3 linked regions of the Arabidopsis thaliana genome follow. The protein of the gene in region 3 interacts with the protein of the main gene of each other region in a pairwise test. Each region holds a gene or a part of one and is shown on either strand. Other genes may lie near its edges.

Region 1 (7,959 bases), on a different chromosome or scaffold from region 3:
TTTTAACAAAGTCACTGCATCAACGTTATCATCAGCTAAAGTACAACTTTAGAAAAACCCTAATACACTAATTCCTAAAGGCTTAAACCAAACCGACAAAATTTACATAAGAAAAACATTGGTAAATCTAAAGCCGAACTACAAGCAAACAACCAAACTACTTATTAAAACTGATTAAGGAATGTTTGGATTTTTAGCAGTAGAACATTACTCTCTTCACATTCTCCTTCAAGGCTGGTAAAGGCTTCACACCTACGTCTCCGACAGTTGTTGTTTTCGTGTTCTTTTTACCCGGTGATCCGTTGTCTTGCATTATCTCCGGTTCCAGGTAGAAACGTGCTCGAAATGCTGCAAGATGAGCATAATACGCTGGAGGAACTGTACAACATCAGAAAATAAAAGAACATATGAGTTTGCTGATTTTCGTCATATTTGCGGGTACACGAAGAAGAAGAAGAAATGTTGTTATTTACCTATAGAGACCGACCGAGTGCACCGCGCATAGGTATAACAGAGATTGTTAGTCAGAGATTGAATACCATCTGCTGTGAAATTGTTCTCGTCCCAAAGAACATGGTAATGTGCAGGCCTGCTTGTTCCCTAGATCATACAACAAACACAAACAGTGTCATTTTATCTGTATAGTTACGGAAAAGGTCATATTAACGGATATTTCGATAGTTGTTTCGTACCTGAATACCCGCATGGCTACAAAGGTAGAAGTCGAATTCAGTTGGATGACATATTTTAGTGTCAACTACAGTACCTGAAACAAAAGGTGGCAAAGAAGCAGTTAGTTAGTTAGTTAATTATTTCTGTTATGATCTTCTTTCAACCGTTTTTAATAACTAACCTGGTAAGATATTTCCGCTTCGGTCAGTACTGTTTTTGTCTCGGTGATTATTAGCAAACAAACGAGTGTGGTGACGCTTCTGTACAACTATGAATGTCACCGGTGGCTGATAATTCGGTTCAAGCGATGCACAAGCCTAAACAAACACAAACCCGTTTCCGATTATGTAAAATGTTTTGCTAACTTTGTGGCGGATTCATTTCATGCTATGCACAAAAGTTTTTACCTTTCGAATTGCATCCAACTCATAGAGTAAAACTTGATAGAATTGCCCTTCGCTTACTCCATCACTGCGCGAATAAAACAACCATGAGAACTAATTGTGGGTTTTAGATATAATTCTTTTACTTAAATGAGCAAAGAGAGACTTACCGATAAAAGATAATTCGAAGCGGTTTTTGCCCTGTTGCTTTTCTAAATGAGATAAGAAGGTCCCTGTAGAAAGCAAGCAAAAAAACCTTGAGATACACCGATAAAATCAAACTACAAAAACCGAAATATTGCGAGTTATTACCTGATCATACCGCCACTAACAGTACCGCGAACAGGATCTTGCCATGTTTTATACAAATCTTGTATAAGTTCTTGCCTGTGAGCTTGAGCACAAACTAAACCCGCATATTTTGTCACTTCAGGCCAGTCTTGAGAAGCAACAACCTAAAGAAAACAAAAGAAAAAAACTGAGTATAATGAATTTCGATGCTCCACTACTTGATAAAAGTGTATAATCCTTACAGCAGCGATTGAAGGGCTTGACTCTTCCCCGTTCTCTGGGTGAGTCACGTCTGCGCCAAAAATGATTGTCGGTATATCGCTAACCAGTGGTATTCTACAGCTTATGGCGTCTACTAGAACTGTGTTCCTTCCTCCCATCTGAAACCAAACATAGAAAGATCTGAGATTCATAATACTAAAAACAATCGAAAATCTTCGATACAGCAGTAAAAACTATTCACCTTTACGTTGATTTTAAGGGATACATTTGCCAGATACTGTTTGCTAATCTTGAACACATGTTTTGTGAGACAACATTGAGATATCAAACCAAGCTCGGTTTCACAGATTCTCTTAAGATCACCTGAGATTACAAGAAACATTTCGTTTTCATCAAAACCATTACTAAAGAAGGCAAAAGGGTTAAGTTTATGGATGTCGAAATAATACCATAAAGTGAACCGTTGTTATCAGGTAATATTGCCAGCAGAAGCTCTAACTCTTTGCCTTTGGTTTTGTTCATTGAAGTGTGATAAACATGCTTTAGAGCTTTCTCGACTTGATCGGGCCTCGCACTATATATTGGTATCACGGGTTCTGGATTAAACTCCTACAATGATAAACGAAGCAAAGCTTTCTGATAAGAATCACATCGAGTTAAAAGAGAATTCAAACAATGCAACAAGAAAAGAAAAAAAGATGAATATTATTACCATGCCTGAGACTTCACACATCTGACCAAGTTCATTACAAAATCCACGAGCAACGTTTTCTTGAACGCTGCGTGAGAAGTTAACACAGGCCCATCTGCTCACAGTCATCCCGTTGATCATTTTCTTGTTCATCATATTCCACTGACCAACTTGCGGGAGACAATCTTTTTCTTTCCCGTTCTCGTGATACTTAAGCTGTAGCAAGCAAAGAGAGACGAATTAACATAACAGTATTCTCATAGTATGAGCATTCAGAGATCTGTTTAGGTTTTTTACCCATGGAGCTGGAAGAATACGAGCTTCAACAGAAGCTAACTTTTCGCTTATGTTCATGCCAAACTCCTTTGCATATGGATCTTGATCATATGCGTTGTGTTGGACAGTCTATAAAACATTTTTGACAACAAGATTAATCCTCACTTCTAAGTTCTAACTCACAAAGAACCATATAAGATACATGACTAAAAAAATACCCGCAAAATATCGTTTTCTCTGTCCCTCGGCCTTTGGCATGTAACTTTCAAGAGAGCAGTAATCTGCTTCTCATTCAACCTTTTCGTGTACCGTTGTCCCTCGACAATTTTGCATGCCTACATTGGAAATTGAATCAGCGAAAATAGCCAAGAGCTGAAATGTGAAGTCTTGAAACAAACAAACCAGCAGTTTACGGTTTACCTCCATCGGCAAATAGCTTGCCTTCTTTTGGTTTCCAACTTGGAGACATGGCAAATGCGTGTGCTGGATCGTGAATCCATACATCTCTTGGAAATACTCAATAACTGACTTCATAGTACAGTTCTCATCTACTGGAAACCTAAGAATATAAACCAGAAATTAATCTCAATGAAACAAGCCTTAGTAATCAAAGAGTAAGTAAAAAGAAAATACTCACATTAGCTCTCTTGTTGGTTGAGTTGTTAAACCCGCAACACGGTATTTCCTTCTTACATTCGCTCTGTGAGTAACCTCTACTTTCACTCCTCTAAGACCCTTCTTAATCTGTTAAAAATTCCCAAGAAAAAAAACATTCTTGAGGAAACAATCAAGGACTTGAGACAAGATATAATAAGATGAAGAGACTTGTGTACCTTGACGCGATCAGAATCCGACAATGGCTTCGACAAGACATCCTTTCCAAGAAGCTGTGCTACAAACTCTATCACTGGAAGAGGCTCGATGAATGCAGCTGAAGCCATATCTACAAAGTAAGGAGAATAACATTAAGATTGGGCTGACTTATAAAATAAAACCAAAACTGTAACAATCTCTTAAGTCAAATCTTTACCGATATTTAGTGATAAACCCATTTGAGTTGGTCTAATACTCTGGTAAAACCCACACCATGACTCTAACCCTTCACCGAGTCGCTGCGGTGTTTTAATATCAGGCGAAAAGAAAGATCTTCCAACGGGACAAAACCTCTTAACCGACAACTCCCTGAGTACAATATCAAGAATCTGCACCGCCTCTTGCGGACAATCTGCCCGTTTACCAGCTAGAAACTCGCCTAAGTGATGCATATTTGCCCGTGCAACAAACTTGATTGCCACCTTATATGATCTCTCCCTTCTACAAAGCAAAATGTGTCAATTTCAATATAAAACTACACATAACAAAATCAATCACCTAAAGAACCTTAGACACTTACTTAGGGCCATTGATGATACCGTCATCTTCATCAACAATCTTAACACTGAACTCCTTCCAAGTAAAAGGAAGTTCTCCAGCAGTGTAAAGACTTTTCCGGCCATCGTAAGCCGGAAGTCTCCTCCCGAGATCAGACTCTTTGTAAAGTCTAACTAACTCAGCAATTATAGCTCTGTTAACACTCTTTGATGACACTTCAGGAGTAATTGTAACCTGCAAAACATTAACCAAATGTCAATGGACCCAAATAAGCAATAAGAACAACATTAAAATCTAACTCTCTCTCCTTCATTAAATTTCAAACCTTTTTTCAGGAAACCATCTAAAGGTTCAAGCTTTGTTTCTCATTACAGCAAAAACTAAAAAAAAGGCAAAAAAAATCTTAACTTTTTCTAATAAAAACTTACATCATACTGATTCAAATCCTTGGTAGGCAAATCAGCGAGAAAGTGGTTAGCTTTAACAATGCATTTAGTTCCAAGTGTTCCAAATCCAGGTCTTGGAGCAAAGTTTGAGTTTTTACGAACACCCATCTGCATCTGATGATTCACAGCGACAATCTCACCGGCGGTGGCGACGGAGACGGCGGAGGAAGTGGTTTGACTTGGCGGTGGCGGTTTACGAGGACGAGAGCTAGGTCTCATACAAACATCTCCTTGATCAGATTTTCTTCCACCACGGTTTCTCCTCCGGCTACGATTCTTTGACGGTGGTGAAGGTGAAGAAGCTTGACTCTGAGTAACCGTCGCCGGAGTAGTCACCGTCACCGGAGAAGGAGAAGGAGGAGGGATTTTACCGTTTTGAACGGTTTTTGGATTGTGGTGCTTTAAAGGTTGGGTTTTGATAACTAAGTGAGTCTCAGAGCTATCTTTCATTTGCCTAATCGGCATTTTTTGTTGTTTGGATTTTCAAAAACTCTTTTTCTCCACTACAAAAAGAATGAAACAAAACTTAAAACTGATCCCTTCCTTGGCCTTATTCTACCTGCAAAATCATGAGGATGAAAGAAAAATAAGTACAAACAAAAAATAATTATAAGAAAATGTCAGATTGCATTAAATGGAGAAAATCCAGAAAACAAAACCATGATGATGGTGTTTTGGGTTAAATTTAATAATAAAAATCAAAACTTTGAAACAGTGAAGTAAAAAATGTTGTTGTTCTAGTTTCTTCTATTACAAAGTTTCAGAAACCAGAGAGGTAAAAAAAAACAGAGATTAAAACAGAGTCTGAAGTATATACATACAGTGTTACAGAGATAGATGTAGTTTTTTTCTCGATAAAAAAGAGAGAGACAAGAAACCATGAAATTAGAAGAAAACACTGTAAAGACCAAGAATAAAAGGAACCAATCACCAGAAGTTTTTTTTTTATTTTTACAGTTTTTGTTTTCATTAAGAAGAATCACAGACAAAAACAAGGAACAGAGATTAAAGCTTTAAGTGAAATGGGGGAAATTGGGAATACCCAGAAGACAAAACCGGAGAAAGCTTTAATCTTTTGTCTCTATTTGAAACCGGAAAATGAGATCCCGGAGAAAACCCAAACAGATAATTACAAAGATTTTAATCGAAAAATCGAAGCTTTTTTATTTTAATTTTATTTTGCTGTGAACTTTGGTGTGAGAGAGAGAGAGTGAAAGATAAAAACTAAGAGCAAGTGAACAAAGTGAAGGAATAAACATCGAAAAGAGCAGTGGAAATATCAATATCTCCAAGAAGAATGAAAATTTTATTTTATATAAGTGAATTTATTGCTACGGAGAGAAAATGACCCGTCCGCTATATTAAAAAGAAATACAGTAAAAAAAATAAAACACTCACCGACCAATGAAGAAGAAGAGTGACGCTAGAGAAGATAGCTTTCCTCTCAATGTGGAGAAAATATCTCAGTAGGAAGAGAAAGAGGAAGATGATGATGATGATGATGAAGACGAAGAAGAAGAGAAAAAGATTGATTTTGTGATGTAGAAAATTTTGAGAGAAATTTATGTCTTTTAAGGACGCATGCAAAAGAGGTTTGCTTTTGGGGTTTTGGTCTCTTTTAAAAATCACGTGTAAAGAGGCTTTCTTTCTCTCTCTCTCCACCCGCAGACTCAGGCTCTCAGCCTCATCTCAGTCTCTCTTTTTCTTTACTCTTCTTCACTTTTACTAATAAAATGAGAAATAAAGTTTGTTTTTCTTTGGTTTTACACTTTGCTAATAATGAATGTTTCATTAAGTACAAATTTCTTCTTTTTGATAAGCACAATGTGTTTGGTTTATGGCAGCAACTATTTATTTATGGATGGTAATGATCAGTTAGTTATTTTTTTTTCGTCTCTTATTACATCATTGTTACAAGATGGTACTATAATTCTCTAATCTTATTATAAAAAATGTATATACAGTATTGTTTATGCATAGCAAATTTAAAATTTAATTAGTTTTTTACAATAGATAAAAATACAATAAAACAATTTAACAAACGGATAGTTTTACCATTATCAGAAGAATCAAGGATGGACGGTTTTTAACAAAGGAACACGGAAAATGATTACATACCTGATGTAAACACAAAAAGTTTCACTTGGTACTTGGTATAGAAATATTGTTCATCTTTTTCATTTGAGTTGTCAAACATTGTTTCATAACAAATGGTTTAAATAGAAGCTAATGGATGTGTAGCCGTTCACGAACTCATCTAATCAGATAAACGTTAGTTGTGTATATCAACAGTCGTCGGCATTGTCATTGTCGTCATTTGGCTCAACCTAGTTGTAGAGTTAAATACTTAAATCTAATCTTAGTTGTACGTTTGCGCCATCTATTTAAACGAAACAAAAATTGGACTTTTGATGTTGGAAACTAGTCTAGGTTAGTTTCCGCCGGTGAATGTGGATTGTCTAGTTTGTGATAAAGTGTTACAACTGCAAATTAGCATCATCATTAAAATGTACTACTTTCCCAATTGCTCCTAATTGTATACTTCGAAATTGGGCTTAATTAATAGAGAAAACGACTAGACCACGACTTTGCATGATTACACCCTTTACTATTTTTGTGACCATTTGTACATATTTATTGAATTAGATTTTATTGGATATGTATAGACAGATTTCTTTATGTGTCAGCTTATTGCAGCTGCTTAAGCTTGATGGCCACTTTCTTTGTGGTCCGTTTAGTACCACTAACGTAGTGTATGTATTTATACATACATTTATATAAATTTACATAAGAAATATTCGTGGAGAAAAATAGTAAATGGTTTACATGTAAGAAAATACATAGTAAATGTTTTATATTTTTTAAAATAATAAAAGCAAATGATAATTACACACACGGAAGAAGGAATAATTCGAACTTGCAGTCTTTTCTTTTCTTTCTGCAGACCCCATTTCGTGACTCTACTACAACCTCATTAATTTTGTTTTCTTCCACTATTTTTTTTTTTCTTTTGTTTATAACATACTCCATGAGACTACATGAAACGTCCGATCATAAGAAAAAAAACCTACATGAAACAAAATTCATTCGAGCTATTTTAACTTTTGACATTGTTTTTTTTTTACGAACTTGGCTCTAAAACCTTCGATATATCACAAAAACAAAGACAAAACTTTGGTAATTGATCTGTAGAATTCCACTTATTTTTCAGGTTAGAATATACAGTTCAAAGTTTATTCAAAACATAATACTAGTCATTGAATAAATTTAGCAAAAATTAGTTTCTTTAGAAAAATAAGTAAATATCAAAATAGTTTAATATGATCAATTCGAATACAATGATATCTCTATAAGCTACAAGGTTCCTTCTGGTACGAGGAAGTTGATAATTAGATATGCAAACCACCGGCCTATAATTATATGGCTTAAGTTAATCTATTAAGGAATGTATTTTTTATAGAAATCTTGTTCAAGGAATGTATTTTTATAGTAAACTTGTTCAACTGACTCGAGTGTGATATGTAACGGTTGGTAGAGATCTTTTGGCAGCAAATGGGAGAAAGTGTAACGTTCTTTACATGGAAATAAAAACAAAGAGGATGTGATT
Region 2 (4,508 bases), on a different chromosome or scaffold from region 3:
GAATTCAGCTTGCATCTAACGGTCTCCACCTGGATCTAGTTACTTCTTTCTTACACTTTATATGTTATAAAATGTCCTTTTTAATTTTGATTTTGAACAACCAACACCAAATCCCATAAACCAATTCCCTCCAATCCCCAATCCTCATAGCTAGCTTCAAGCCAAAGTAGCTGAGAGTTCTAGATGAGCTCAGATAAAGGCTGTTCCAATCTCACTACACATTGTATCATATATTATCAAGACAATCTCTTTCTCTCTCTCTCTCTGACCAATTAATTTGTCCGGTTCCTCTCTGTCCTCTCGTTGTTCTCTAATAATATATATATTGCAAAAGCTTTATTTTTTGCTTATAGTAATCACTTCCATTGTGTATCCATAAATGGAAACTTTGTTAAACGTTTACCTTTTAATTTATATCCAATAGTACACATCCATGATGGTCCCTCTCATCTTCTATAACTATGTTAACTTTTCTCTTAAATGAATTGATTTAACATCATTTGGCATCAGCGATTCAGTACGATAATTTTTATATTTTTGTATTTATTCCGCACTAAAATCAAGCACAACACAAATCATAATGGTAGATATATGATATATCAATAATAGACATAAAACAAAATCCGGTTGTGAATAATTAGAGTATTCGACTAGACCAATAAAAACCAACAAACATGTCATTATGATAATAACACATGTAGGATCTTGGCGTTTAGACAATTCTAGATCTCTACTTTTAGATAGAACCAACAAAGTTACAAAACAAGAGGACAAGAAAATACCCAAAAAAAAACAAAAAAAGAAAAGAAAAGAAAAGCGTAGAGAATCTATTAAAACTCAGAGCGAGTGATGATCTTGAAACCGATTGATGGGGAACCTAAGAGAGTGATCCAAACGCTGTCGTGAAGCGTCACCATCACGACCTTGTGGTGGTTCAAGCGGCGCACGGACGATGCTTGGGCCACGGATAGGGAAACCGGTCGGACCAATGGGTGCACCAACACAAGTGTAGCCCGGTTCCACGGGACTATCGGCCATGTAATCAACGGTGGTGGTGGTGGGGAGGTTAGGACTTGGAGAGATGCTTCTGCTGCCTCTAAAAGATGGGTTTAAGTAGTAGTCGTTGAAGTGGTTGTGAGGAGAGTATTGGTTTGAAGAGTATGGATATGGAGGCGGTGGTGGTGGCATCGGCGGTTGCGGAACCAAGTTCGTTGAAGAGCTTCCAGGATATATCATTGGTGATGAGTAAACCGACCGGTATATTGTTGGATCTGTGGTATGATGATAGCTGCAAATAATTACAATTATGATTCACCTCATTCATATGATAATAACTCACATAATTACATAAAAAAATGATGATAATAAGTACATTGAGTAACATATTATATAATTTTGAAATTTTTTTGGAAGAGAGAGTACCCGAAAGGAGAAATTCCAGGTGGGGTTATGGTATCGTTACGGTAGACCAATTGACGAGCTTGATTCAATGTCTCGGTCTCCCTCTCTTTAGGTTTATAGAACCAAAAGGACATCAAACTAATTTTAGTCTTAAATGCAATTAGTTACATCTATCTACTGGTACTTAGTTGTAGTCAAAGCATGGATGTGACATCAATCATTTATCAAAGACAAAGAGTTATATAGAAAATTTGGGTTTATTTGGACGAACTAAAAAGTGTGAATATGATTATATGAAAGTTAAAAGAGGTTGAAGAAGAGTGTATATAAATGGACATACCTTGTCGGTGGCGATTCATGTGGCCACCAAGAGCTTGGGATTTGCAGAACTTGAGTGAACAAAATCGACATTCGTACACTTTCCCACTCTCATCTTTCCCTTCTTTACTCCCTTTCTTCTTTCTTTGACCTAATTAATTACCAACACCAAATAAACCTTCACATTAACAATACACACACTAATAACTATATACCTCCATGTTTCATATATATAAAGTTAAAAGAATATATTTAAATTAAAATATATATATATATATATATATATATAAAGAATTAGGGTTTTTCATGGTATGCATACCAGAGGAAGAACCTTCCTCGAGGGCTTGCTTATTGCCATCTTTAGAAAAATCATCTGGAAGATTGTTGAGGTCTAAGTAATTCTCCTCATGCCTCCTGCCAGAAATTTCAAAAAAGAAAGTGTGAATTTAAAGATTAGGAAATTAATAGAAGATAGAACTAAGAAAGCGATCTTGTGGGACATATACATAGTGGGAAATGAGAGATTGGCGTGAGATAAGACTTCTCCCGGAGAGCTAGAATAATTGAGAATATATATTAGAAGACTTTCAGTTGGAGGCGGCACCACAAAAGGAAGAGAAAAACGAATAGAGAGTAGTAAAAGTTAAAGAAGAGAGGTTCGAAAGTTTTCTATCAGTTTATCTGCCACAAACCCTCCCTCCCATCTCTCTCTTTGTTTCTCTCTCTGCGTGTGGAAACTAAATTAGCAAAGTGGGTCTTGTGACCTTAAAAAGAAAGAGGTGGTCATGTGGGCTTAAGGGGGTTTAATTAAACCAGAGAGAAAGTGTTTGTGTGTGTGTGCATGTATGTGTGTGTGTGATGAAAGAGAGAGATGAGAGGGACATTTCCTGAGTGAAAGGAGATGCTAGGGCTACTACCCTAGAACCCTATTACTGTGCAATTAATTCATGTTAAAAAAGACAAACCCTTAATATTTTAAGAACTCTTTTTCTCAAAAAAAATCAATGAGTTTTGGATCTTTTAGTTGTGAGATACATATCATAGGAAAAAGAAATAGTAAAAAAAATTCCTTTCAACTAGTTAAAAAATCAAACTGTAGATAGTAAAAACAAATTCCCAGTTTTGAAGAAATGACTGTTATTGTAGACTTTTAGGGGATACATGAATAAAAGAAAAGTTATGGGTTGTTCTCATGAAATCAACCTCAAAATTTCACACATAATAGAAGGAAACGTTAAGTGTAAGCTGCACTTGATACAGAAACTTGAAAGAATATGCTAAACGTTGTATTTTAGTTAGGTTTGATTAATATAAGGCGACTTAAAAGAAACAAGAGTAGTACTTTATCAACAATGAATTAAATGTGGAAAGACACATCTAGCGAATCATTGTCTCTTGATAAAGAATCTTTCATGAATAGTTTGCAGCTCCAAGATGGTCCTTGATGAACTTGTGATCCTCACTTAAACACTCAGAGGAAAGAACCAAGTAACTAAAAGAGAATAGATTTTATACTTTTAAGGACAATCCGAGACATTGCTAGTTCTATGGTCCTGCTGCTTTGAACATTACGTTTTGAGAAGTTTTACAATAAATATTTGTATATAAATGTAAGAAAATAGTTAGCTAGTAATGGTCCCCCATATGTAGATGTAATGTTATGCTATTGCTAGGCCTCTCCTGGGGCATCCACATCAAAAACAAATTTCTTTCAAAATTGTTTTTTGTACCCTAGGGTTTTGCAAATGGGTCATGCAAGTGTTGCTATCACATAACTAATTATTAGGGTCCTTTGTGATCTTAAGTTAGATATGCATGTCGTGTATTATCCCTACCTTCACATTACTTGTTTTTATTCATTATTACATGGTTAATATAATCTAGTTGTAACTTGTAAATAATCCAAAACAATGTAATTCAATCAAAAGTAAAACATTATAATGCTATCAAGTTCCCTCCATACCACATGCTATTTATACTGTAGACATGTTTGCAGAACTAACGTAAGATCTATAACACTATCCTCATCCATAAAAGAATGAGATAGATTAGTGTCTCTTAAGTAGATACTGTGAGATTATTTACATTTCACAATTCACTCTCACGGAAGCGTGCGAATCACGTGTCAAGTGGCTTCAAGGTCAAAACTTCAAAACTCAAAGAAAAAAAAAAGTATGCTCGTGCCGACCTACAAGATAAAAAGGAATAGTATTTGTTTAAAAAGTCAAGCCCAACACCGTTATTTCACGGCGTCATGTTTATATGATAAGCAGAGTATGAATGGTGACGAGACGGAGATTGATAATTTCGAGTTCATCAAATCAACACAAATGCAAAGCCAAAGCCCAATCATAGTCGACACTAGCTAGGAACATCTTTTCTTTGTCGTGTTTTTTGGTCATTAGTTAGACTTAGATATTCTTAATTTTGTAATAATCATAAGATATGTAACCATAATAAGAATTTTGCATGTGGATAATTGTAAATACACTAAGACCAATATTTTACAATCTCGCCAATTAAATTGCACACCATCGTTTATAGTTCTCTTATCATTTTTGTATGCTTTTTCATAATTTGGAATAAAAATTCTCAACAAAAATTTTTCAGAAAATACTTGTAAGTAAGTATAAGCGAAATCATTTTACCAAAAATAAAAATAATAAGAGAAATCAATAAAACAAATTCTTTAATTAATTTTTCTTTTTTGGTAAGATGTTAATGAGTTAGTATTAAACTATTAATGTAAATTGTAAGCGAAATATTTGTGTATAAAATAGACATATATA
Region 3 (3,976 bases):
GGAGTGAGTAAAGGACAAAACGACGGTCAAAATATAAAGGAGGAAGAAGCAGAGCATAATACGACAAATATATGTTCATTAAATCACTACAATGCTCTCTGATCCAAAACTGAAAACACAACAGTACCAAAACCCACATTGGTACGATCAGAATCTAATCTCTCCCCAATTCGACGATCAGATTTCAATCTTCACTACCAAACACCCTAATTTTTATTTTATTTTCTCTATTTTTTATTAACCAATAGTAAGAATATTATTATTATTAAAGTCTCAGTTGTGAAATTCAGGGACTCAGGTGGAACTGAAACTTCTCCGTTCAACTCTAAACTATATACATTAAAAGAGTTATATCCTATGTCTATATTTTTGGTCTGTGTGTTTTCTCTTATGCACATCTTTCATTTTTTGTTTTTCTTTCTAATGTTTTGATTACATCTGTAATGTTTTATGACGATCACTGTGTAATCAATAGAAGAATCTAACTATAGTGTTTATTTTATAGACTAGAGAAGAGAAGATTTCCATAAAAAGAAGGTTATATTTTTAAAATAAATATTAGAAAATGATTTTAAAAATTGACCAGAACGGTACTTTATAGATAAACCATAAGTTAGACCGTCACTATCAATAAACATCAACATCGTCTCTCGATATACACTTCTATTTTTTTCAGAAATATTTTCTTGGTTTTTTTTTAATTAGACATAATTAAACCACATGGAAATTTTAAGAGAATCTAACGTCGTTTTCTATTCTCCTTTCATCTGGTAAAGTCATGGACAAGACTTGCCCTATCCGCTACATTAAGCCTCCAAGAAAGGAACGGAACACCGCCGTGAGCACCGTCGGATTCAACGTTGTTTGCTACTCCACTGCCGTAATCATCCATGAACCTGATCTCATTTGCCGGATAATTACACGGAACCCTCTGCGTCGAGTGGTGATGAGCCCACGGAGTACCATTATTATTGTTGTTATTAGTGGCAGCATGGTAATTATTGTAGCCAGAGTTGTGATGCCCGTACTGGTCGGTTTGAACCGGTGCAGCTCCGACGACGGTGTTTCCTGTAGCCGCAGTAGTTCTTCTCTCTTCCTTCTTGAAACGAATGCCGCATGCGTTGCATAGGGACTGCAAATTCCAAAACCATCCATATCATCATTAGCCATCAATATATCTTATATTTAATGTTCGTTCAATACATAAATCTCTATATAGTGATGAAAATATTCGAAAAGAAAATAAATTAATGTCTTTTATTGAAATATCTGTTTTAAAACTTATATTCAAGTAAATTTACTGAACCATCAAAATCATTATTTAATGTTTCTTTCAATAAATTAAACTATAGAGAAAGGGATTTATTGGTTTTAGTGAAAAAACAGATAGGCAAATATTCAAAACAAAGGGATGAACTGTCTTTTTGGTTATTGTAAATCTTCATTTCATGTGTTGATTAAAAGAAGTTGCATTTTAATAAAAATTAAAATAAATAAGTCACCTTAGGGCCTCTAGGACCATTCCTCCATAGTGGAGTAGAAGTAGTGTCACAGTTGGCACAGCGTCTAGCGAGAAGAGAGTCACCTCCGCCACCGCCTCCTCCGCCACCACCACCACCGGAACAACCGCGACTTGGCTTGTTAGCGGAGAAAGAAGGAACGTTATTGTACGGTGCCGTTTTGGAGTTGTTGTTTTTGGTGTGAATCAAGTCCCAAAAGTTGGAGATGCAAGAAGAAGCACCAGATGAAGTAGAGCGTCTACGTTTCTCATCTTCCTCACAAAGCCTCGTAGAAGGAGTTCCAAGAGAGAGAGTGCAGTCAACGAGGGAGGAAGAGTGATGATAGTCCTCACCGTTCTGCTCGAAAACGCCACCGTTTTGCATGGAGAAGACCATCGAGTAAGAACCGGCGTTGGAGTTGTTGTTGTTGTTGTAGCAGCAGCTTTGGCTATGGTGGTGGAACATTCCACAAGAATGACAATATTGCCCCTGCGTTGAAGTAGTGTACGGAGTCTGCATCATCGCTCTTACACACTTCTCTCTCTCTCTACTGGTTTGAAAACCCTAAGTGTAAAATTAAGAGAAGCTAAAGAAAATATGAAGAGATAAGTTCAGTTTGCAGGTTTCACGTTGGAGTGAAGTGTAGAATGGAGAAGAAGGTCTCACACCTATATATAGAATCAGAAATGTATATGTACGCTTATATGCAGGTTTATATTAATACGAATAGTATTTAAAATCAATAGAATATGTGGGGACGCAGCTTTTTACGAAGTAATATTAATATATCATTTACTCAAATGGGTTTTCCTTGCTTTTTTATGTTTTATTAATTACAAAATACGATGAACGATGATACAGTATCAAGTTTCTTTAGGCAGCCAAGTTAACAAGTTAAAAGATATTTTAATCACAGTTTATTTTTTCTAATTACATAACACATGCTTGGTCTACATAGAGTCTGTGTCACTGTGTGATTGTTTTGAATAATTCAACTAAAATATCCCTATTTCAAGTACGTTATGGAGTTGATTAGCTTTTAGATAAGGATGCTAATATATGAAAATGTACCGTACATTATGAAAATGTCAGTAGTAAATAAAACAAAATATGATGGGAAGTAAAATAACAAAAAGTCGAAACTATGTAGAAAAACTGATCTTGGTTTAAAAAGCGAAGGGTTTGCTAGTTGTTGGACACAAAACTTTCAATCTAAAGATGAATAGGCTCGGTAACATATGCTAAAACAAAATCATTCATTGCTAGCTTCCAAATATCATAGATTGAAGTTTGGTTTAAGTAGATATGGTAAATCTTATTGTGATGGTGAAAAACATACGACTTTTGGACCATCAAGCACACAACTCTTATTAATTCGTTATTTCTTTTTGAAGCAATTATTATGTCACTCACACACGAATGTTTACTTTACTAGAACTATGATATTGTATGAAAAAATTGAAATTATCGATTTTGTGGAGGAAATTTAACAGAAAATAAAAAACGTAGAAGAAGAAGAAGGAGAGAGTGTGATGCGATGTTGATGGTCATTGAAGAAGGGTGGTCAAAATTTAGCCCACGTGACAAGGGGGAGAGAAGAGGAAGAAGAGTACAGTCATCACTGCAAAAATCTCCGATCACGAGGCTCATATTTTTATTTTTATTTGTTCTCTTTCAATATAATGCTATAAAACCTCTGTCTCTTTCCGTATCTCTGCCCTAAAACCCTGAATCTCACGCGCTCCTGCTCAGTTGCGCGTGGCCTCGTCCTTTACTTCTCCACATCGCAATCACACGTTCGATATCTGCTCAGCCTCATGTGGTTAATGATGATCCATGATGATGTAAGTAAAATGACTTAGATTTGGTTATTAGATTTCTTCAAAACTTGCAGCTAGCTAGAGTCTACTCTACTCTTGTCGTCAACGAATACTAGTCTTCGTCCCTATACAGAATTATTTTATTTTTTTGGGATTACGTATGTTAAATGCTTTAACTACTGTTACTAATAAAACCCTATTTTTATTGAAAACATGGACTCTCGATTGGTTGAAAAAGAGCTTACGCTAGGGGATATAATGCATTGGCCGATCTAATTTTTTTTTTTGCCGAACACTATTTTTTGAAAATTTTGTAATCAAACAAATAAAAGAAAGAAAGTGTATATTCAAAAAAAAAAAAAATTAAAAGAAAACTGTTGAAATAGTATATGTTTGTACGTTATAAAAACCGATCAAGAAAAAGATGACGGTTGTCCAAAAAAAAAAGGACCAAGATGCTGAAATCACAATTCATGTACTGATAACTAACACTTCACAGGGACGCGGTTAACCGAGTGCTTTGATATCTTGTAGTTGTAGATAATGTCTTGTTTTTCTATATCATTCTCTCCAATTTACTTAAATGCATATTGGGCATGTGATCAAGATGATTAGTTGCTCTTTTGTTTTCTTCTGTATAGGTCTCGTTCCAATTTC

Evidence for each region.
Region 1: the proteins of MNP (region 3) and AGO10 interact in a two-hybrid assay, tested with the Arabidopsis thaliana proteins (one study listed by BioGRID).
Region 2: the proteins of MNP (region 3) and JAG interact in a two-hybrid assay, tested with the Arabidopsis thaliana proteins (one study listed by BioGRID).

What each region holds. Positions count from the first base shown.
Region 1 is NC_003076.8:17,608,797-17,616,755, reverse strand, and holds the start of AGO10 (Stabilizer of iron transporter SufD / Polynucleotidyl transferase), read right to left. Parts: upstream 6,013-7,959; 5' UTR 5,751-6,012; exon of another isoform or gene 5,395-5,750; intron 5,381-5,394; exon of another isoform or gene 5,174-5,380; intron 4,912-5,173; 5' UTR 4,818-4,911; coding exon 4,335-4,817; intron 4,141-4,334; coding exon 3,929-4,140; intron 3,850-3,928; coding exon 3,566-3,849; intron 3,479-3,565; coding exon 3,369-3,478; intron 3,280-3,368; coding exon 3,173-3,279; intron 3,095-3,172; coding exon 2,956-3,094; intron 2,871-2,955; coding exon 2,754-2,870; intron 2,665-2,753; coding exon 2,557-2,664; intron 2,476-2,556; coding exon 2,281-2,475; intron 2,178-2,280; coding exon 2,018-2,177; intron 1,932-2,017; coding exon 1,810-1,931; intron 1,727-1,809; coding exon 1,589-1,726; intron 1,511-1,588; coding exon 1,368-1,510; intron 1,289-1,367; coding exon 1,226-1,288; intron 1,144-1,225; coding exon 1,080-1,143; intron 990-1,079; coding exon 854-989; intron 767-853; coding exon 693-766; and 5 more. UniProt on the Arabidopsis thaliana protein: Involved in RNA-mediated post-transcriptional gene silencing (PTGS). Main component of the RNA-induced silencing complex (RISC) that binds to a short guide RNA such as a microRNA (miRNA) or small interfering RNA (siRNA).
Region 2 is NC_003070.9:25,683,706-25,688,213, forward strand, and holds JAG (C2H2 and C2HC zinc fingers superfamily protein), read right to left. Parts: upstream 2,491-4,508; 5' UTR 2,228-2,490; coding exon 2,226-2,227; intron 2,164-2,225; exon of another isoform or gene 2,134-2,163; coding exon 2,039-2,133; intron 1,871-2,038; coding exon 1,742-1,870; intron 1,656-1,741; exon of another isoform or gene 1,536-1,655; coding exon of another isoform or gene 1,508-1,535; coding exon 1,423-1,507; intron 1,289-1,422; coding exon 838-1,288; 3' UTR 609-837; downstream 1-608. UniProt on the Arabidopsis thaliana protein: Controls the morphogenesis of lateral organs. Functions in lateral organ shape and is sufficient to induce proliferation and growth of lateral organ tissue.
Region 3 is NC_003074.8:18,909,157-18,913,132, reverse strand, and holds MNP (GATA type zinc finger transcription factor family protein), read right to left. Parts: upstream 2,187-3,976; 5' UTR 2,022-2,186; coding exon 1,503-2,021; intron 1,133-1,502; coding exon 764-1,132; 3' UTR 525-763; downstream 1-524. UniProt on the Arabidopsis thaliana protein: Transcriptional factor that specifically binds 5'-GATA-3' or 5'-GAT-3' motifs within gene promoters (including its own promoter and GATA21 promoter), thus regulating the expression of genes mostly involved in hormone responses and floral organ specification (including genes regulating hormones responses).